Struthio camelus: one gene and its partners. The protein of the gene in region 3 interacts with the protein of the main gene of each other region in a biochemical or structural test. Links are inferred from orthologs where the notes say so. Each region holds a gene or a part of one and is shown on either strand. Other genes may lie near its edges.

The links.
Region 1: of the proteins of DOK1 (region 3) and TEC, one has a biochemical effect on the other in vitro, tested with the Homo sapiens proteins (2 studies listed by BioGRID, with this or other methods). The link is inferred for Struthio camelus from reciprocal best matches to the Homo sapiens genes DOK1 and TEC.
Region 2: the proteins of DOK1 (region 3) and CRKL form a complex in vitro, tested with the Homo sapiens proteins (2 studies listed by BioGRID, with this or other methods). The link is inferred for Struthio camelus from reciprocal best matches to the Homo sapiens genes DOK1 and CRKL.

Annotation. Positions count from the first base shown.
Region 1 is NC_090945.1:58,357,511-58,364,420, reverse strand, and holds the start of TEC (tyrosine-protein kinase Tec), read right to left. Parts: upstream 3,020-6,910; 5' UTR 3,005-3,019; coding exon 3,000-3,004; intron 216-2,999; coding exon 22-215; intron 1-21.
Region 2 is NC_090958.1:9,180,508-9,188,271, reverse strand, and holds the start of CRKL (crk-like protein), read right to left. Parts: upstream 3,020-7,764; 5' UTR 2,531-3,019; coding exon 2,217-2,530; intron 1-2,216. UniProt on the Homo sapiens protein: May mediate the transduction of intracellular signals.
Region 3 is NC_090945.1:87,727,765-87,735,277, forward strand, and holds the start of DOK1 (docking protein 1), read left to right. Parts: upstream 1-4,502; 5' UTR 4,503-4,557; coding exon 4,558-4,620; intron 4,621-5,256; coding exon 5,257-5,553; intron 5,554-7,513. Other genes in the region: protein O-GlcNAcase-like, read right to left, coding at 2,582-2,621. UniProt on the Homo sapiens protein: DOK proteins are enzymatically inert adaptor or scaffolding proteins. They provide a docking platform for the assembly of multimolecular signaling complexes. DOK1 appears to be a negative regulator of the insulin signaling pathway.

The DNA of each region.
Region 1 (6,910 bases), about 29 Mb from region 3:
TCTGGTTAGTTATGTGGTTACCTTGGAGAAGGGAGGAAAAAAAAGTTCTTCTTTTGTTTAGTAAGTATAAGTGGTCAGGGATTGGTCCCAATCCAAACTGGAAGTGAGCAGCATGTTTCCCAGCAGCGCTGAGTCCCTGTGAGTTCTGCCTGGACCATGGTTCAAAAGGAAGAGCCCCACTTCCTGCAGCACTCAAAGCCAGTTTCTTCTCTGCCCTATATTCAAGCGCAAATAAGGCCCAGATCTAAAGTGTTTTTATGATTTAATCAGATCACATCTTCACATCTTGCAATAGGCACAGAGTTGAGCAAAACCTCTCCTGACAGGAAACTATTCTGTGACCTACTTGAACATACATCAAGTTATACCATAACTGTAGCAAAGTGGTACCCATTCATACAACCCGCTGACAACAGAAGCATGAATGAGGAAAAGTGGAAGCGCCAAGAAAGCATTCAGCCCAGGCGCCATATACCCACTGGCTCCCTGAAACTTTGCTTCCTGTGTTTGTTTAACACTGCATAGGATTTTTCACCTTAAGAATTGAAACTACGTGGCCCAGCTAGCAGCCCACTGCTTTTCCTTGGAAGAGGGGCTGCGACTGCCTCCAGAAGCCAAATAAGCCTCTTGGCAGTCACCAAGAGCTTCCTCCCATGGCTGCTCTCGACAGACCGGGAACAAGTCTCGTACCTCAGCAGCCAGCCAGGCCCACGCTCCTCCAGGCTGTCTCTCCAGACAGCATCTTGTCTCCCTGGGGCAGGCTCAAAACCCAGCTCTCCCACCCACAGTTACCGAGGCCAGACAAGCTGAGGTAGACGTGGGCTTCACTGAACCTCCCAAATATACAACAGTCGTCCACAAAAGAGTGTCTTTTCGGCAACGTAGTTTTTTCTCCTGAAGGGTGAGTATTGTTGAAACAAAATACTTTGTTAGCAACGTCATTCTTGACAAGGAAGGTAAACCTTGTCCCTAAGAGACAGACCTATTCCCAAGAGACTTCTGTTACTCTTGGAGAGATTTCATGATCCTATTTGAACATACCAGCCACTTCACTGTGTGAGGAACTGACCTCTCTTTCTTATTCCATCATGCCTCCACTTACAAGGAATTGTAAAAAACCCATTTTTCCCCCTCAAAGGGTCTCTTATGAAGATGCTATTCTCCCCATATGTAAAAGTCCATTTGTTTTTTTTCCAGAGTTTTGCCTCACATGATAATGTTCCTGCTTCTGCATCCTGACTCTGAATCATTGCCTGTGAGTCTGAGGCAGAGGATGACCGAGTGTTGCCAGAGCTGTAATCACCACGGGGCAGTGGTCAGTTGCAAGTCACCCATTCCCAGGTCCTGCTTTGTCAAGCAGGACAGAAAGCTACTGCCTTTTCCTTCATAAAATGCACTTGGAAAAAAAAAAAAAAAGACCAAAAACAGAGGAGCAGGGTGCAGGTCTGAGGAGAGTATAGCAAACCAGGGATTTGCCCCGAGAACTAACACCCTCTGTTCATCAGCAAAAATACATTTCTCTAGACCTGGCTAAACATTTGTTAAAAGCAGGTTCAATTTCATCAGTTGTGCCAAGTTATGTTAGTAACATAACTAAGGCCTGATGCTAGCATTACACTCTGGTCGTGAGAATTAAGGTAAATCAGGCTGATCCCTTTGCAATAAGTAGTGCTGTCACACTGCAGTCAGCAGAACGACAGTTTCGTCCCTTGTGCTTCGCATAACATAGGAAGTTACGGGCATCAGCAAGCCATTTAAAGAAATATTGTTGGTCCACAGCTTTTGTGGTACAATAACTGACCACTGCTGTTACTTTGGGCAGAATTACCAACACCTTGGCTACAAATATATGCATCAACTAATACAAATATCTGTAGTACAAATTAAATCATACAATGGTTGTCCTTCAGAAGCATGCAAGTTCTTTGAACTATAAAGACAACAGGCAGAGAAAAAAAATGATATATATGTATCAGGCCTTCTTCCTCATGGCAACCTTTATCCTGCTTTGTCAAGGTATTGCTTTCTAGCTCATTTGATTTTAATACCATTATTTTCTTACCCTATTTCTGCAGGAGAGCCATTGTAGACTGTTATAAGTGATACTTTGGCACACACAAACTTGTGGCTTTTCTAAAGCACAGTTCCAACTTCAGCAATGAGAACACAATAGGTTACAGAAAAACATCAAAACAAGCAAAACACGTTAGAGGTCAACGGTTAAGGGAGATTAAAGACATTTTTCCATGATCTTTGTGTAGACAGCAGGAATCACAGAGTTCCATTATCAAATAAGCAGAAAGTGTTTTACGTATTTGAGATACAAACACTTATATGAAAGTTAGACCATTCTGCACCTTATCTTGTGTACTCAGTTTATAAGCTAACACAATATACAGGGAACTAATCTAGAATAGGTTTCATCTATATGGGGGGAGGCACAAAATTTTTTCTTGCTGCTGTCAAGCAATTCTGTAAAGTTAACCACTTCCTAGTTATTTTATCATTAATTACAGGATACTACAGTATCATGGCCTTTCTGAAAACAATGTGTTTCAGGCTAAGATAAAACATTATCAGTTGTATATTGTTTTATCAGCTCCATTTTATTTATCTCCATTTGTAGCCACTATAGGCAGTCAGCCAGAGTTTCTGGATACATTACAACGCTCACAATACTGAGCACACAGCTAGGAATTAAAGTGTAATGTAACTAAGGGCATAATTTTAGTTGCCTGACAATCAACTATTTTAAAGCATTAACTTCTGCTGTAACTTCCAAAACAAGGAGTGCTCCTTCTATGCCTCTCGAGGAGCTAATAAAAAAAATGGCATATGAGAACTAAAGTCACTTTATGAAAAAGTATATTTTAACTATGAAAACTCCAAATCTTCATCCCTGTTTTTCATAGCTATGCAAGCGTGCACACGCACACAAAAAAAGGAAAAAGAAAAAGGAAAGAAAAGAGAGAGAGAAGTAACCAGGTGCTAAACCTTACCTCATTGCTAGGTTTTTAGTGACTTCAGCAGGCAAACCTATGTAGAAATGATTTGGGTCAAAGCATTCATAATACTCGTTTTAAGAATGAGCAGAGCATGTAAAGCATCCCTTCCTACAAGGATAAACGGAGAGACAAATGCAGTAACTTCATGATAAGCCCTAATTTCTTAAACAATAAATCATGGAAAATAAAATCTGAAAAAATATGAAAAGAAAGACTATCATAGGGGATCCTGATAGCAAACGGCTTTTCCTGCTATAATCCCCCTACAAACAGCAGTTGCCAAAAGACTAAAAGAAGCAGCGGCACAGAGTGATGAAGCCCTGAAACTGGGTACAGCAGGCTACTGAATACTCCCCATCACTTGGGTGCTGCTTCGAAAGGAGGCAGCCTACAACTTCTGCTCTGCAGGCCAGTTCCCTTTCCCCAACCTTTTGCGGTGCTGCCCACTACAGCGCTTCGTGCAGGGAGGTGCACCTACGAGCACAGCACCCGTGAAACAAGATGAGAACACTGCGCTGTCGAGTCCTCTTCCACACGTTCCAGCAGACCACTCTGCTCAATGGGAAAAGCTTTGTGGGAGATGAAACATAGAAAAGTATCTAGGAGAGACAAAGCAAGAAAGGGAGCCTTTGTGGGGGAAAAAAGCAGGGAGGAGATGGACAGCCACGCAAGAAGAGAAAGCACCAGCGCTCCTGCCCAGGGAAGGGAGACAGCTGCTTTTGGTGTGAAGGGCAGCACGAGCCAAGCAGCACAACTGGCATGCGGAGAAGAAGGGCACACTCAGAATCACTCTGGGTACTCACTCAAATGTCACTGGGAGTCCGTTCATATGGCCCGTGCCCTCTTTGGGCCAGGGCTACTCTAAACTTTTATATACCAGCCATAACTAACAACTCATCTTCCACTTGCTGGACAACTCTGAGAGAAATTAAACAGCAATGCTTAACTCTGCAGCCATGCTGTGTCAAAGGTAAGATAGTCAGATAAAGCACCTGCAGCATTTACTCTAAAATAAAAACAAATGGTCAAGAAAGAAACAAGTACTCCCAAGACATATATGTAGCTGCATTTCTACTACAGTCAGCTTTTTCAGTCTTTAAAAGATACGCTCTTGTTTGACTCACAGAATAACACCAACTATTTCACATTAGCATTTGGAAAGATAAAGGTATACCTTACTTTAGCAAGTAGAAAATTCACAGAGCATCTACACTTAAAGTCCAATTTAAGGTTCAGATAGTTACCAGTTCTAACTTAGAGGGACTTGGAAAAAATTGGGAATCCGGTTACCGACTGGGCTGGTTGCAAGTATGCTGTTTTTGAGCGTTAGACTACGTTAGAGCATTCACCACGGTGAAAGGACAGTCACATCGCAGGACAGCGGGCAAGGGAAGCTATTAAGATTGCTTAACTCTCACAAAGTGTCAAAGTATACTGAGACACGACAGATTAGTGCCCCTTAGCACAGCAGTTACATAGTTACAAGGAAAGACCTTCATAGCAGAAAGTCATGTAAACAAAGAAATACAAAGCAAATGCTAGCTTTAAAATGGGCTTGATAGTCTGGACTACAGCGCCTTATATTACAGAAGTCATAGTAATTTTAAGCAGAGGTTTAAAGCGTGGCTTTTATTATAGCCTGCCGTTTACAGAACTCCATTGCATTTGGACGCTATTAGTTTTGAGAAATACTTCTACGCTTGCTGCATCGTACACGCTTCAAGGTGCGAGGACAGCGGCAGCGCAGCGCGCCGCGCCGCGGCAGCCGGCTGACAGCCGTCCCAGCAAGGCAAAGGCGGCCGAGCCGCCCCGCCCGCCTTACTAGCGGCGGGCGCTTCTGAGGGGCAGAAACGCGGCTGCCTGCGCCGGGCGCCCACACCGGCCGGCCCAGGCGGCAACCGCTCCCGCCCAACACCAGTAACATAAAATTAAAGCAAAACAAAACAAAACCCCTCTCTGCCACCCGCCGGGCAGGGCGGCCCGCGCCCGGGCGGGCGCCGACGGGGGCGCGAACCGGCGGCCCCGCGGCTGCCTTACCTGCAGTCGGCCGAGCGCAGCGCGGCGCCGCGGATGGGGCCCCGACGCCGCCGGTGCGGGGACGGAAGCAGCCGCACTCGCCCTTCCACCGCGGAGAGCGGCTCCCTACGAGGCAGCGCCGGCAGAGGAAGCGGCGGTGCCGCTGCGCTGGGGGTGGTGCGCGGGGGCGGTCTCCGCCTCCCCCCCCCCGCGGAGCTCTGCGCTGCGGCCGGCGTTGCCCTAATCGCCCACCTGGCTTGCGGCAGGTGTGAGGCGGCGAGAAACTAAAATAAAAAAGGTGACCCACATGAAGAAGCCCCGTTTCACTGGTGTTTCCACCGAGCAAAGAAAATTTTAAAAGGGGGGGGGGGTGCAAGTTATAAAACTCGGAGCAGGATGCAAACTCTCCCCCAAATCTGCGTGCGCCTAGCTGCTTGCACCATCTGGAGTTACAATGTGTGTGAGAAGTGTTTTGGCTCAGGTGCTGCTTACTCTGAACGATGTCACAGTGAAGAAAGAGCAGGCACACACGGGTCTGGGGAAGCGGTGGGGCGCAGCTCCTCTCTGTCCCAAGCGGGTTGTACCTTCCGTCGCGGCTCCTGGCTTCTGCGGGTCAAATCTGCCCCAAGCCTGGAGAGAAGCTGGGGTTACAATTCCTTCCTTCATACCTAACTATGCATAATGGTCACATCCAACCACCCCCAAGCTCAGGCACTCGTTTACAGAAGACAAAACTGAAGGCAGCTTTTCACACCAGTCAGGAGCTGGTGTTGAACTCAAGTTTTGAGGTCTATAGTGAGATATCACCCAGTCCCTCTTCCTGACCTTGTCTTAGCCCAATCTCCCCTGCAGCAACTGTCAGTTTACAAAATCCCATCAAGGGAAAAAAGAGCTTGTAAAGATCATTTAAAGCACATCTCAAATATTTTTAAGTATCAGTCCAGCAGGAAGAGAACTTGGGGCCTATGCTGCTTGGAAGCACATTGTTTTGTTGTGACTAGTATGTAATGGCTGGATCAGCACAGATGTCTTTCTGTTCAGCCTGGAGGAAATGACTTGCAGAGTAGTCTTTGTTTTCACTTGGGGGATTTCCTCCGAAGCATGCATTCGCCACTGCCGTGTCTCCCATGCCTGTCACGCTGCTACTGAGCCCAGGGAGCCATGGGGAACCTCTGCCACATGCAAGGGACAGTCACCGTGTAGCCACCTCGCAGGGCCCCGTCTCACCAGCCCTCTCCCACCACCCTCCACGCAGTCCCTGCACACTCACAGTAGCACACACTTAGGTGCTTATGCAGACCACCTAACCTGCTGCCACCATCAGTTTTGCCAAGTGGGCACTACACTGGCAACTGCAACTGCATTTTTGGAGCAACAGCAGCTATAGCCGCCCTCCTCTCCTCCTTCCCCCCCTCCCCCCACCTGCTGCTGTGGCAGGAGGAAAGGACAGTAAGACTAAACAGTTGCTTAAGGAGGGAGCTGGAATAGCATTACTCAATACAGTGCCATTTCTAAGTTCCAGAAAGTGTCATTTAGCGGAAAAGGATTATGCTACAATGTGATACGATCAGGAGCCGCTACATCTTTTCTGGGACTTTACCCCTGGGCTGCAGGGGCAGCAAAGGCATAGAAGAAAGCCCTTCTGTGGTCCTTTGCCATGTTGCGGTTGTCCTCCCCAATGACTGCTGACCTGGAGTTAGCCAATTTGAGTTGACAGATCAACTAATGGAGGATTTTTGGTGGAGGTATGGATTACAACAAGTTTTCATTTCATGTTTTATAAGGCTTTCTAATTCTCAAAAGATTTTCTGGCTTTTCTGATGCAGCTAGTGCTGGAGATGCTCTCTCCCTTCCTTCCCACCTCATTCCACCACAGTGGCTGATAAAGC
Region 2 (7,764 bases), on a different chromosome or scaffold from region 3:
GTTGACTGAAGTTAAGTATGGTTGGTTGGTTGTGTTTTTTATTAAGATATTCCAGAAACCTTAAATAGGAATATAATTGTTTCTTTAAGGTATCCTGCTGAAGCCAAAGAGGAAGAAACTTTAGAGACCAGTCACTCCACACAAGCAAGGGCCTAGGCACATCTGCAATGATGGTAAAAACTCACTATTGCCAGAAAACAAATAGAAAATTTAGTTTTCAACTGTTTTGGCATAAACGTCATCTCCTGCAGCTAAAGAAACTTGTACACCAACAAACTTGTTCAATCTCATCATGACAACTATCTCCTCATCCTGTCCTTAACGGTATTTAAAAAAAAGCCTTCAAGAATACAAGAACCTGAATAAAGTATTCCCCCCTCCCAAAAAAGCCAAGTTTTTATAAGGAAGAAAAAGAAATAACAGTTCTGAAGCATATGCCTACCCTTCGTATTCTAAGTCCAGTTCATTACCTTTTTAAAAAAAAAAGTCAGGAAATGCTACTTTTCTTTCTCCCTTCTAGCAGGAAGTCTCCTTTAAGTTTAATTTTGAGCCATCAACTGTGTCATTGATTTTTCTCCAAGAGTTTGAACAAAAATACTATGAACAAAACCATCTAATCAATCCCATTAATAGCTCTGTTTAAAAAAAAAAAAGGTCAGTCCACAGCATGCAAGGTCTCAAATCTGTCTCTGTACGCTAGGGGAGCAACCACCAGTTCCTATATGCAATCAAAAGCTTGAAGTGATGTGGTTCTGAAATGTTTGTAATGTGCTTGACACAAGATTCTAAATAAATAGGAAGTGAGCAAGTTGGGGTCAGCTAAGTGACACCAAGTTTTTAAGTGGCTGAGGAAAGCAAAATAAGTTATTGCCATACATGACTATGAACAGGTTCTTATTTTCAGAAAAGCACATCCATATTCAGGGAAGAATTGAGATAAACATAAGGATTGCTTCAATGTAGGTTTTTCCTCCCAACCATCTGCAAGTTTAAACATGCGCATAATGCTGGGCAGCTCCATTTAAGTAGCCCTGCAACTGTGAAAGATGAGCAAATTCTTCACCTATTCATCTTTCCAGCCAAAGCACAATTGTGCAGACTTTCTAGCAGCTTTAACAGTTCTAGAAGCTAGTGACTTGTCACATCCCTTACATCACTTGACAGCTCTGCAGAAAGATTTTTTTTGACCATCTGAGTTGTGGAATTTGACAAGATATTGTCAACTTTTGACATTACTGACTGTTAAGAACATCACTATGCTTAAAGCCAAGCTTAACTCGTGAGCAAAAAGCTCTTTTTTTTTCCTTAAGAACTTATTTAATCTGCAGATGATAGGAACATTTTAAACTGCTGAATTTAGTAGTGAACTAATTTGAATTTGTTTGTCTGTGTGTGTCTCACTATTTATCTAGCTTTTATTTTCACTCCATTCTGTACAGGAAGCTGAACAGCTTTGAAATAACATACTGAGAAAAGCTTTATAAATCAAAGTAAGGAGCGAGCAAGTTCATCAATAAATCTAAAATAGTTTACTGATGCAAGCAGCAGGTTATGTCTCATGTTGGGAACAGAACAAAGAATGAGCTCATAGCTATGTCATATTTTTCCATCCTCCTAGAGCAGCATTTTTTAGTGTAGTGCATGCAGTATGCAGACACAGGCATACAGTGCCATTACCAGGCTGGGAGAAATATTACGATTTCCATTCTTCGGGGGAAGTGAACTCCAGAAGCTTGGGAAACGCTGTCCTAGAACGCGTTAAAACTAACTTAACAGGGTGGTACAGCCTAACCACGTAAAGGCCTTTTCTGTTCTAACCGCTGTGGACGCGGAGACGGACAGCTCTGAGGCTGTATCTCGATCGCTGAGTGGAAGAGCTGTGAACCAGGTCCTCAACCGCCCGAGGAGCAGGACAATACCGCCAGGCTGATACAAAGCGAGGCCACACCCACTGCGAGAGAATTGCAGTCGGGGGGCAGAGATGCACGCAGCACCTTCGCACATGCCCACGGGCTCTGTAAGGACGTGCACTGCTATAGCCGATATACCTGCAAGAGCAGCTCGGAACGGCCGGTGAGATCCGGAGTGCGGAGGATCGCTGTTGGAAGCGGTTCCCAAGGAAGGGCCCTCAGGGGCCGTTTCCTGAGCAGGCACGGCGGGGCCCCGCGTCCAGCGTGGGGATGCCGGGGCCGCGGGGGGGGGAGGCTGGCACTCACCTGGGCGCCGGCTCGATGAGGGTGGTGGTGTCCAGGTAGTGGATCTTGTAGAACTCCAGCAGGGCGGGCAGGTGCTCGAACTCCTGGTCGCCGATCTTGAAGCGGCGGTTGGGCAAGGAGTTAATGATGTAGTGGGAAACGCGGGAGTTCTCCGACACCGAGAGCACGTAGTCCCCCGGGCAGGTGGACGAGTCCCGCACCAGGAACATGCCGTGCCGCTGCCCTTGCAACCGCGTCTGCGCCTCCGCCCGCGACACCGGGCCCACGTACCAGCTGGAGCGGTCCGACGAGTCGAAGCGAGCGGCGGAGGACATGGCTCCGGGCGGGGAAGGGGAAGGGAGCGGGGCAGGAAGGTGAAGAGCCCGAAGGCCCAGGCGGAGGCAGAGACGCGGAGAAGGGAAGGCCTGGGCGGGGAGGCGGAGCGGGCTGGGGGCTAGCAGGAAGCGGCTAGTGCTCAGCCAGCGATAGGAGGCCCGGCGGGAGAGAGAGAAGGAAGCCCCGGGCCGGCGGAGCCCGAGCAGCGGCCGGGGCGGGGCAGGGCGGGCGGGCGCGGCGCGGCGGTCGGGGCCCCCGAGTCTCCCTCAGCGGCGGGGTGTGCAGGGCATCCTTCCCGCCTCGCTCGCAGGCCTGCGGCGGGCCGGGCTGGGCGAGCGGCGCCGGCTCACTAGGACGGGCGGCGAGGGGAGCCCGCTGCCGCTGCCTCGGGGGCTGGGGGGGATGGGGACGGACAGAAGCGCTCGGCTCCCGCTTTCTCCTGCCGGTTTCCCTCCACTCTCGGAGCCGAATGCTAAAATGGCGGCGGCAGCGCCGGGCGGTGGGAGTTTTCCGGCGGCGGCGGCCGCGCAGGCGCGTTGCGCTTCTCGGCTCGCGCCGGGGGGGGGGGGGGGGGGGGAAGGAGGAGGCGGCGGCGGCGGCGGCGGCGGCGACGACCGCGCGCCGCGGGGGGAGGGGCGGCGGTCTGAGGGGCGGCAGCGCCCTCGCCTCCCCCCGCCGGGGCGGTCCGAGCCTTCCGCGGCGGAGCCCCGGCCGGGCCGCCCGGCCCGCTGCTGTGGAGGCCGGGGGGAGCGGGCCCCCCCCCTCCTGGGCGGCCGCCCCGGAGCACCGAGCAGGCCTTACCGCGGCCTCCCCCGCCCTCCTCCTCCCCCCACGAAAGCCTGCCTAGCCGAGCCTGGCCGCTCCTTGGGCAGCGCGTCGGGGGGGGGCCATTTACCTCCTTCACCCACCGCCGTGCCCCCCTCGGCGTGCCCCGCTTCGGCCTGTCCCCGCTCCATCCCTGTGTGCCGGCCGCCCCGTCCCGGGCGAGGGCTCCCTGAGGCGGAGATCAGCCTGGCTGAGGTTTTCTTGTTCTGTTAATTGAATTTTTTGGAAGGGCAAAAGGCACCCCCGTGATAACCCCCTCTGAGGGAGGTAAGTTCCTACGTAGCTCAGGAGAGGAGACGGTTTCCTGTCTCTTCTGCTGGGCCTGTTCGCAGCTAACGGGGGCGAAGGCCTTCGCCTCTGGTCTCGGGGGCGAGGAGGGCGCCGGGCGGGAAGGGACGACGGCGATGGCCTTGCAGCCGCCAAGAGGAAGGAAACCCCCGGAAAGGATGCGGCGAGCCCCGAGGGCAGGGCAGGCGGTGCAGCATGAGCTGTTTGAATTTTAGAGGGAGCTCAGCGCGCTGTGACCTCAGAGGAGGAGCGGGAGCGTGGGCAGCGAGGCCTACGCCCTCTGACTCAAGTTTGGGAGGGCCGCTGGTGGTAATTAGCGTATCCCACTGCAGTGGGCAACGGCATGCCAAAATAAACAGCACCCAAAAGACCTAGTTCCCCAGACATGTGATAAACCTTTACAAACATTGTGATTTTAGCTCGCTCTCATGACTTTGTTTAATTTGTGTCCTTGATTTTTGTTTTTCGTTTTGCTTTTGGGGCTGACAGCGTGAAAATGAAGCAGCTTTAAGCATGTAAATAACGTTTCAAGAAGAGACGGATTTAGGTTGACTGTTTTGAAGTGCTCAGTTGGACCTATTGTGTCAGCTTATTCCAGCTTTGATATTTTTCTTTCATGCTCTGTCTTTTCTGAAAGCTTAGTTACAGCACGGTCTTTTTTTTTCTCCTTGTTTTTCTTCCTACGTTGGCCACTAGTGCCAGTTGAAGTGTTTGGACTGGAAAGCATGGGATGTATCTCTCTAGACATTCAGCATAGTTCAAACGATCTAAAATGGAAGACTTGCCTACTCGGATGCTTATGGCTTAAACAAAATTGTTCAAGAAAATCTCATCACTAGCGCGAAAGGATCTTAAAGCATGCCCCTAAATACATGTACAGGTATCACTTTACCAGCCGTTGAAGTACAGCCATCTCCTGGGTGGAAAACAGCAGCTGTTTAGCCATGTGCAGCAGTGCTAGCCAAACTGAGCAGACCTAAAGGTGAAGAATACCGTCTGAAGCTATACAGCTGTGTAAAGATATTCTTCCATTTCTAGGGCAACTTACCTGGCAGCTATACCTCTGATTCATTCCTACTGGTCTAAGTTCTCATATCTGTCAATTGGAATCAATTTTAAATGCATGCAGACAGGCTACCACAAACTATGAAGGGTGCTGTGTTTTCTTCTGTCATTTGAACGGATTTGGATCATTTTCTGTGTGGCCATAGCCAAAATGTAGAGATTGAAAGATAGTATTTCAATTTGCAATAACATACCCAACACCATTTAAACATAATTACAAAAAGTCACAAGTTAGCAGCAGAATCAGTAAAAAATAGATGCCTTTTCATCCAAAGAAGATTCTAAAATGTAGCGAGGTTTTCAATTTGGAAGGAGCTGTCACAATTATCTGTTCTGACCTCCTACATTCTTGCAGGCTGCATGTACCCTTCAGGTAATTCCTGCTTCAGTTTCAGTAGCTGTGGTTTAACCAGGCCAGATCTAGGTAAAAGATCCCATTTCTATTACACTAAGAGAAAAGAAGTAACTTGTTCAAGATTGTTAATACTACTTGCTAAGACTGGGCATCAGCTACCTAGACTACAGGCAGTGATTTTAGATGTGTTAAATCCCTACAACTACTGTTTGTCTAGGAAGAGTGGAGAAATGTATGGATTTTTAGGACTGTTTAATGGAACCACTTTACCTTTTTATTACATATACAGAAGTTTATGCTCTTTCTCTCACCCATTGGTGGCTTCCACCCTCTCAGAGGATGGTCGAATGGTTGCTGCAGCACAACTGAGGAGGTGGGGATTTCTTAAAGTGCATCAGCTGCTGATGAAATAAAAACTCTGTTGGCACAATATTCCCTTGAGAAGGTTCCTGTCCCTCTTTCCCCATGCCCAGCTGCTCCTTCCTCCTTTCACCAGAAGCTTCTGCCCCTATCAGTTGTACTGAATAACAAATAAATTGTACATGTGGCTGGATTCTAAGTAAGGAGAAGTAAACTTCTATCAAGGGTATAGAATGAGACTCCTTATTTGTTTCAGATCAAGTATGAATTGTGCTTCCACAGCAAAATTAACAACCCTAATCTAAATCAAGAGGAAATGGGAAAGGAGACGGTGGATTTGGAAGTAGGTGGAGAAGAAATACAGTAGTGAAAGCAGTTATGAAACAAAAACTGAAGCAGTTACAATCACTTCTCCAAATGCAGAAGCCTGAAATAGTTCAGGATACATGTCCACTAATTACAAATCTAGCAAATATGCCTATATAACTTTGCCTCTGCGCGGACAGGAAATAGGAAAATAGATGATCAAGAAACCTAGTTATTATTCTTTTGGACTTTCTAATGTATCAGCAGTTTAAGCATTTGTATTTTGATCACTTAGTTCTGAAAGAATTGTGTGGCTATTCTCTTACAGACCTCAAATATTTAAAGCTTTCTTAATTCATTGTCCATCTGACCTCAATGTCTTATACTATACTACTGTCTTAGAGGACTGTTTTTAAAAAAAAAAAAAAAAAAAAAAAGGAATGCTTCTTACTATAAGACTGACACATTTAGGAGGCAGAGGATTTATTTAAAAAAAAAAAAAAAGAAGAATCAGCCAGAAATCTCTATGCATCTTTTTCTTAAGATAACACAACATTTCACTGGGCTCATGAAGGCAAGGTTCCTGAAGCATTATCTTTGATAAGAAAACCCATCAATAGTAATCATGGCTCAACATATCAATGTATAGTCTCTTGCAATTTCTCTCTATATGTAACTGCAGTAAACAAGAAGAACAAAGCTCTTTACACCTGCCAATTTAGGTAAAAGTGCCAATTCTAAAACAAAGCAATTTCATTATTGTTTAGCCTATGTGTTGGTTTGGAAAGGTACATGTTAGACGAAAGCGAGCTACTGCTAAATGATTAGATTGGTTTGAGCTAAGCTAAACTCTGTTTTCTACCCAAGCAAAATACATGCAGGTAAGGTAGTACGTATTATAACTTTTGACAGTCACAATACACCCCAGATGAAAAGAAATTCTTGGGGTGAAAGCAACTGAAGCTTTGTTTTTTGCTAAATCAAAATACATAATATCTGCTCTTAGGTTTAGTTGATGTAATTTAACTGTATTTTATCAGTAACTGAAAAAAAATAGAAAAAATAGTAGAACACTTCTCTAACGTATGTGATCTGCTTGAAGAAAAAGTCATTTCCTCATAACTACATTTTAAGCCTTATATTGATTTGCTTTGCACAGCATCCAGCTGCAACATTTAATAAATAATGCAATCGCAAAATTGCATATACTGACTAATGGATAGGAAAAATGGGGATCACCTGAAAATATCTACAATCAGTATTCAAACACTGAAGGAGTGATAGGAAGAAGTTGGAAAAAATAAAAACATGAGTTATCACAAGATGTTTCTCTAGCTTAATAACTACTCACAAATATCTTATATTCTCCCCTGTAATCCAAGAATTAACCTATCATCTTGGTTATTTGCAATAGTATATAATACCCTCTAGTGGTATACACAGGAAAAGGAAACAGAAGCCAGACAAAGTTTTTTTTTATCATGAAAGAGCCTAGAAAACATTTTCACTTGCAGAGCATCACTGGTCTTTCTAGAACTGCTAGTCAAAATGTAAAATGCACTGCAAGCAGTACAATTAGACTTCAGCTAGATAGCTGGGTTTAGTTAGAAGAGTTGGGTTTAGAAGATAACCTGCACCACCAAGTCTTGAATGCCTTGTTCACAATTTGCAGACAAAACAAATTGCCGCTGCAACACGTGCAATCTGGTAAGAGTGGGTCTAGTGATGTCCGGGTCAGAGAGATCTCACCTGACATTTGAGAACTATGTTTATTTCCTTCATACTAAAAACAATTTTGTAGGCAAAATATAAATACTCCTCAGTCTCCAATACTGCAATGTAACAAAAGCTATTTGCAGCCTCCATGTGCAGTTCAGAGTTTGTTATCAGAAAGGGCTTCCTGAAGAAGCTTATATGCAGGGTTTCTGCATTTACCAGGTCTGTGCTTTATTTGCCAATTGGCAGTGGTTCAGAGATGGAGGTGAAAACTAACAGTGCTGGAGGGGAAAAAAATCCACCTCCCTCTAATCAAGA
Region 3 (7,513 bases):
TTGCAGAGGGAAGGGCCACTGGAGGGAGGCACCTGGGGAGCAATCTTAGGGCTATCTGCTGGCAAGGACATTCATTAATGAGCGCCGAGGCTGGCCAGAAGGACGTTGTCCTTCCAGAAGGTTGTTCAGCAAAACTGAATGCAGGAAATACAGATCTGGAGTCAGCAAATTCCCTAGCGTTTCTTAGCATTTCTGCTTCTGCTGCTTGCAGGCTCGGGAGGTTGTCAGGCACCAGTGTCCGACACAGGGTTGTGGCTGCAGCGCTGCAAGCTGATCATCTGCCCTGGGTGCCCTCCTGCCAGCCAGAGCAGCAGGGAATGGGGCTGTGGTGGGAATGGCACGTCTCGTCTGCTCCTCACCCTCCTCCAACACTTGAGCCTTGCTATGCACCAAGCATGTCCATCCTCAGCTCTCCACTTAGGCTGGAGGAGCTTCTTTAGATGCTAGTTCACCTGGGGACAATGCGGGAATAGGCAGGTAAAGGAGTCTGGAGAGCTGCAAATTTGACTGCTTCTTGAAGAGAGGTTAAGGAGAACCTGTAAGTGTTCAAGCATAGATTTGAAATTTAGCAAGGCAGGGACCTTCAGCCTCATGGTCAAGTCACGGCAAGACCTGGCGGCTGCAATTAGAAGCCTCACAGAAAATGCATTATGTCTTGAACAGTGATGGCAATTAGCCATCAGGGCAGCTTCCCAGTTTCAGATGGGCTCTGCGTCATGGGCAGCTTTTAACTCAGACAATGCACTTGCCTATCAGATGAGAACAACAAGAGCAGAGATTCAATAAGTGAATGCATTTGCTGGGCTGGGCCGGGCTGCGCACAAGGGCAGATCACAATGACTCTGCTAGTCTGGCAGAAAGGGCCAGCTCTTGGCACCTGGCATGAGGCCAGCATCGCCCAGGAACAAGCTTTCCCCAAAGCACTTGAGCGCAGTAGAGCCACTCTACCTGGGAAGGTCCCTTTGGCAGGAGCCCATCTTGCAGCCCTCAGCACTAACCCTGGGCCATAAGGATGGGGTGGCTTGTGCTACAGCACACACTGAGTGTTTGCTGCAGAGAGATGTTTTACCTTCTTGAACATTCACAAGCATACTCCATCTACTTTGAAACGATATATATTTGCTCTGCTAGTCCTATGCATGGGGTCAAATATGTGGCCACTCAGGGATCCCAGAAAACATCTCACTCAAAGTATTTCTATAGGAAATGGATTTTCCATTTCCCAATCCTTGGGAACTCCTGTTCAGCTCACGATGAGGTCCCAGCAGTCCCCATACAGCACCTGCCTGCAAGGGCCACGCTCACACTTTGTTGTGAGCTGACACTGTCTTGAAAGTATGAGATTCGCCTCGTAGCATGGCCCTGCCAGCAGCAGCCCTGGTGGAGGTGCCGTCCCTAGCCCACTCAGAAAACTGGCTTAAACTGTGCCAGCAAAATCCTGCCTGTGCCCGTGGCTGCATCTCCAAAGCGGTGATGCTGAATCACTGCTTCCTTAAAAACAGACAAGCACTGATGAGTGAGGCTGTTTGCTCTCCCAAGGTCCAGATCACTGTATCAGTGAACATCATTGCCTGCCGACCTCTGGGCGAGCTAGGATGTGCCTGGCTGGAAAGCATCCTCCCAAGACCCTGCCAGCTCCCCTGTCTTGCGTGGTCACCCAGATGTTCTGGCCCATCCAGGCTCTCTGCTGCTGGTGATGTCTCGGCTACCAGGAGGGAGCAGGGGCATCTGGGCAGGACACTCCCGGTCTGCCCGGGCCTGGACGCAGCTGTGCCCTGCTCAGCAGCCTGCCCACCATAGCACCACTGTGCACACCCTGCCAGACCCTGTGCTACTGGGATCACGGATGCCTTTCTTTCCTCACTCTCCAGAAACCTCCTCCTCCTCCCTGAAGAGGAGGTCTCTTTCCCAGGTCAGCTTTCCCATACCAATGATTCTTGTCTGATTCAAATTTCTTTTTACTATCAACTTCCCTATTCTCCCACTTTCTCTTTGATTTGTATTTACTTGTATGGTACAGGGCTGCCAGGAAAGATGGAAGTGCTTTTGCCCAGTGGGTGCCAGGCCCGGCCCAGCTCCAGAGGTGCTGTGCTGCAAGGACTGGGGCTGAGCCACACCGAGCAGCCCTCTGAGAGCAGGATTGGCCCAGGCAGCACCGAGCACAGCCAGGGCAGCGCCGCGCTGGGGGTATGGAGGCAGTGGGAGCACACACAGGGATGTTACCTCCGTGCCCAGGGCAGAGAAAGAGGCACTGTCCAGTGCTGGAGCCAGAGCAGCCGGTGCCCATGCCCTGGTGCAAGGCGGCTGCTGCTTGGACGGCTAGGGAACAGCTGGGGGAGTTTCAGGGACCCGGGCCAGTCTCCCATCCCGGGCGGGGACGGGGCGCCGGGCAGGGACCCAGGCCGGTCCCCCATCCCGGGCGGGGACGGGGCACCGGGCAGGGACCCGGGCCGCTGCCTCCCCGATGCCCGGGGCCCCAGGCACTACGTCTCAGAGCCAGTCTCCCGTCCCGTCCCAGTGCTGTCCGGGCAGAGGGACCAGCCCCGACCCCGACCCCGGCCCCGGCCCCGGCGGCACCTACCTTCCACCACGCCGCAGAGGAAGCGCGGCCGCTCCGCCATGCCCGCGGGCCGGAGCGGCGGAGCCCGGTGCTCGGGCGGGCGGAGGGAGGGAGGGAGGGACGAGGGAAGGCACGGATGCGCGCAGCGATGCGCGGGGGTGAGCGGAGGGATGCGCGGGGGGCCCGGAGGGACGGGCCGGGCGCGGAGGGATGCGCGCAGCGGTGCGCGGAGGGATGCGCGGAGGGACGGGCCGGGGGCGCAGCGGTGCGCGGGGGGCCCGGAGGGACGGGCCGGGCGCGGCCCCCCGCCCGCCCCCGCGGGGACGCGCCGCCGCAGCGCGGGGGGCGGCCCCGGCGGGCGGGGCCCGGTGGGCGGGCCGGGGCTCGGCTGTGTCACCGACCGGAGCGGACGCGGAGCCAGGTGGGCGCACGGTAGCGGCGTGTGGGGAACACGTCGCCTGTGCACGATAAACATGTTACTAGCACGCCGTGCCAGCTCACACGCACTGCTGTGCCAGGTGTCACCACTGCACAATACCCTGTGCCGTCTCACCAGTGTGCGGTGGCACGCACACGTGCACACGCCCACACACATGCACACGCACGCACACACGTTACCAGTGCACCCTTTACGGGTGCTGGGCAGGTACACACACGCACACACACATGCACACACACTACCACTGTGCGGGACCCGGTGTGCACACGTTACCAGCGCGCAGCACACGCGCACGCTAGCGGTACCTGGTGCGCGCGTTACCGGTGTGCCATACAGACCCACACACACGTTCCTGGTGCGTGGCAGGAACGAGCGCCCACAGCTGACTGGTGTGCAGGCGTGGCGTGCACAAGTTACCGTGCGTGGTAGGCACGCACACTGCTATAAGGGGCCCCAGGCCTTCACCAGAGTCAGAGTCAGGCTTCTCTACGAGCGTTTATTTCAGCTTGAGCTGGGTGCCTCCGAAGAGGGACCCAGAACAAAGAAATTCTGGGATACCTATACTCCTTACAGCCTGATTTCCCCGCCTGCCAGCGACAGTCTCTTCCAATCTTCTTTACGGAGTCGCTGGTCTCTGTTCGCTGGTTCGTGTCCACGTCCCAGGACGGCTGCTGTGTTCCCGCTTCGCGGTGCCTTACCTTATGGGAGGTTCACGGCTGCCTCTGCCCCTCGGGTGCTGTGCCTCTGGGGGCTGGTTCGAGCCGCCCCGCACTTGTGTCAGCAGTAGCCCACAGGTTCGGGTAAAGTTCAAGCTTAGGCCTGCAGGCTGCGCTACTCCAAGCACCGAGGCTAAGTTTAATCAAGGCTATGCCAATGGAAATAATGGTAGTTTTCTTACACACATGCATGCGTGTGAGCGCACACACGCGCACACACACACACACACACACACACACACACACACACACACACACACACACAGATGTGTGCACACACATATGCACACACACATATACAGATGTGCGCGCACACAAACATATGCATGCACACATACAGATGTGCACACACAAACACGCTCATATACACACATACAGATGTGCACACACACGCACTCATATACAGATGTGCACGCACATATGCATGCACACATATATAGATGTGCGCGCACACACACAAACACATGCATGCACACATATACACACATACAGATGTGCACACAAACATATGCATGCACACATATACAGATGTGTGTGCACACACACACACAAACATATGCATGCACACATATACAGATGTGTGCACACACACACACACACACAAACATATGCATGCACACGTATACACACACACAGATGTGCGCGCACACGCGCACACACCTCCACCCACCCACCCCCCGGCGCGCGCGCACCCGGCTGCGGTGGGGCATGGCCCGCCCTCTGGCCCCGCCCTCCCCGCCCTGGCCCCGCCCCCAGCCCTGCCCCCCCCCCCCCTCCCCGCCCTGGCCCCGCCCGCGGCCCTGGCCCGGCGCGGCGCGGGGCGGCGGAAGCGGGCGGCCGGCATGGACCCGCCGGCCAAGGAGGGGCCGCTCTTCGTGCAGCAGAGCCACAAGTTCGGCGCCAAGGTGGGGCCGGGGCCGGGCGGCTCGGCTCGGCCCGGCTCGGCTCGGCCCGGCCCGGCGGGCTCGGCTCGGCCCGGCTCGGCTCGGCTCGGCTCGGCCCGGCCCGCTCCCTGCCGCCGGCCCGCCCGCGATTGGGGAAGTCGGGCCGGGGCCGCTGGGGCCCGGGCTCCGCCGCCGGTGGCCGCTGCCCTCCCGCGGGGCCGGCGGAGGTGCGGGCCGGGCCGGGACCAAGCCGGGGGGGCTGGTCCGGGGGGGGTCGAGCCGGGGGGGGGGCTGGGGCTGGAGGGGGTCGAGCCGGTGGGGTCGGGGCAGGAGGGGGCCGGGGCCAGGGGGCCATGTCTGGAGCCGGGGGGGGTCGAGCCGGGGGGTGTTGAGCCAGGGGGGCCGGGGCTGGAGGGGGCCGGGCCGGGGGGGTCGGGGCCGGAGGGGGCCGGGCCGGGGGGGTCGGGGCCGGGGCTGGAGGGGGCCGGGCCGGGGGGGTCGGGGCCGGAGGGGGCCGGGCCGGGCCGGGGGGGGGGTCGGGGCTGGAGGGGGCCGGGCCGGGGGGGGGTCGGGGCTCGGGGCTGGGGGGGGGCCGGGCCGGGGGGGTCAGGGTCGCCCGGGGGCTGCCCAGCCCGGCCGTGACCCGCCGCCCCGCAGCGCTGGAAGAAGAACTGGTTCGTGCTGTACCCGGCGAGCCAGCACGGCGTCGCCCGCCTTGAGTTCTTCGACTGCAAGGACCCGGCCGGCGCCCCCGAGAAGCTCAGCACCAAGCGGCTGGACAAGAAGATCGTGCGGCTGGCCGACTGCGTGAGCGTGGCCCCCGCCGGCGAGAGCGGCCCCCGCCACGGCACCGCCGCCTTCTGCCTGGAGACCAGCGACAGGAGCTACCTCTTCGCGGCCGACAAGCAGCAGAGCGAGGAGTGGGTGGCCAAGCTGTGCGAGATCGCCTTCCCGGTGAGCGCGGGGCCGGCAGCGGCGGGGGCATCCCAGGTCCTGCAGCCGGAGCCCGGCCGCGGTTCGCCTCCGTGGGGGCACCGGTGGCCCCGCAGGGCCCCGGGGAGGTCTGCGCGGGGCAGGCCGGGGCATGGGGGCGTGCGGGAGGGAGGGAGGAGGCTGCACAGCTCCTCGCTTCGCAGCCGCGGCAGCCTGGCTGCGCCCGGCGCGGGGAGCCTGGTCCCGGGAGCTCGGCTGCGGGACACCGGGTCGCTCCGCGTAGCTCCTGGCCGTGCTGGTAACGGGACTCGCGTGGTAACGGGACTCCTCAGCCTGTCCTCGGGTAGCTTCTTGCTTGCGCTCACGCTTCGAGGACTGGCTCTTTTCCCTCTGCCTAGAGCCTTGCGCCCCTCCGTGGACCCCGGCTTGCGTTGGCCTGATCGCTGCCTGCCGTTCCCGCCGCTGGAGGGGCGGAAACAACGCCACGGAGAGCCCTGCGTGTGCAGCTGGCACCAGGAGCCAAACCTGCAGCCAGCTGCAGTGCTGACTGTCGCCCCTCCGCCGGTTCTTGGGGCTCGCCCCTTTTTGGAGCCAGGGTGCCCCCTGTCAGTGCCAGGCCTGCGGCGGAGCCCTCTGTGCCTGGGCCCTGAGGGAGCTCAGCCAGCCCCGCTGGGGAGCGCGGTCAGCTCTGCAGCTCCTCCCTAGAGCAGTTGTGGCCAGCGAGTGTAGCAGCTTGCCTGCCCGCACCTCACACCGCAGCTGCCTGAGACGCCTCCGTGGGAAGGCAGAGTTTGCAGAGCAGCAAGTGCGGCCATCCCCGCTGCCCTGCAGGGCCTCCCGCGCTCGCCCGGCCCCTCTGGGTCCGCCGTCTCTCCTCTGCCAGACGAGATGCCTGCAAGGCTCTGGGTAGAGTTCTTGCTGATTGCAGCTTTGTGAGCGCTGGTCAGGGCTGCCCCGTATGATGACTGGTTGTGAAGCTGGCAATCCTGGGACCTTCCCACGAGGACGCACATGTTTGCTGAGCATGACTTATCTTAAGCCGTTTTTTGTCCCTGCTTGCCTCTCCCTGCAGCCTGCTGTCAAATCACATGTGTTTGCGCAGTGAGCGCCTGCTGGTCAGGCCAAGGAGCACAGGTATGGCACTGGGAATCGTTCCTTGTCTGTGCCAAAGTCCATTTTGTGCGGTGTTGCTGCCTTTTCCCTGGAAAGGGCCTGTGGGGCTGAGCCGGGAACACACAGGAGCGCCTTCACAGAGTGATGTGGGGCAGTGGCAGGGCAGGGGAACAGCTGCTTGGAGCAGGAAGGTGCTCACGCTGTCCCTTACACGGTAGCTGTTAGCCGGATGCTTGTGCTCATGAAGCACACTGACAGCTTGGGAAGAGGTTAGCAAAGTGCTGCGAGGATGGCATGTGTTTTAGAAAGGTCTGGCCTGCAGCAAGAGGCGCAGGAGCTGCGCCTGATCTCTCTGCAAGGAGCTGGTTGTGATTTTTGATCCTCTATATTGGGAGCATGATTTCGTTTGAGATCAGTTGCAGTTCAGGTTGGAATTTCTTTTCCTTCTGAAGATTAGGGCTCCTTTGGGCTGTGCTTTCCCTCAAGGGCTCTGGCAGACTTGCTAGCTGTTGACTTCCTGATCCCAGGCTAGAGCCCTTCCTGCGTAAGATGCTTTAGCTGAACAGGAGCCCTCAGGTCTAGGCTGCTAGGTTTCAGCAGTCCCCAGTCTGACGAGGAGGCAAATGAGAGGGTCTGTAGGGCCTTACCTCCTGTTAAGAAGCCCACGTGACCAGTTTTGAACTGAAACTGTGACGATTTGCCTTCTACAAGACACATATTCTGCTGCAACCCCATCCCACGTGCTTTGACACTGAGAAACGTTTTTCAGCTCCTGACTAAATACAGACCCTCATGCAACCGTGCAAAACCTGCTGAAGCTGCGCCTGCAGGGCACCTGTGAGCCTTTGATTTGCATGGGGCTTCCCTG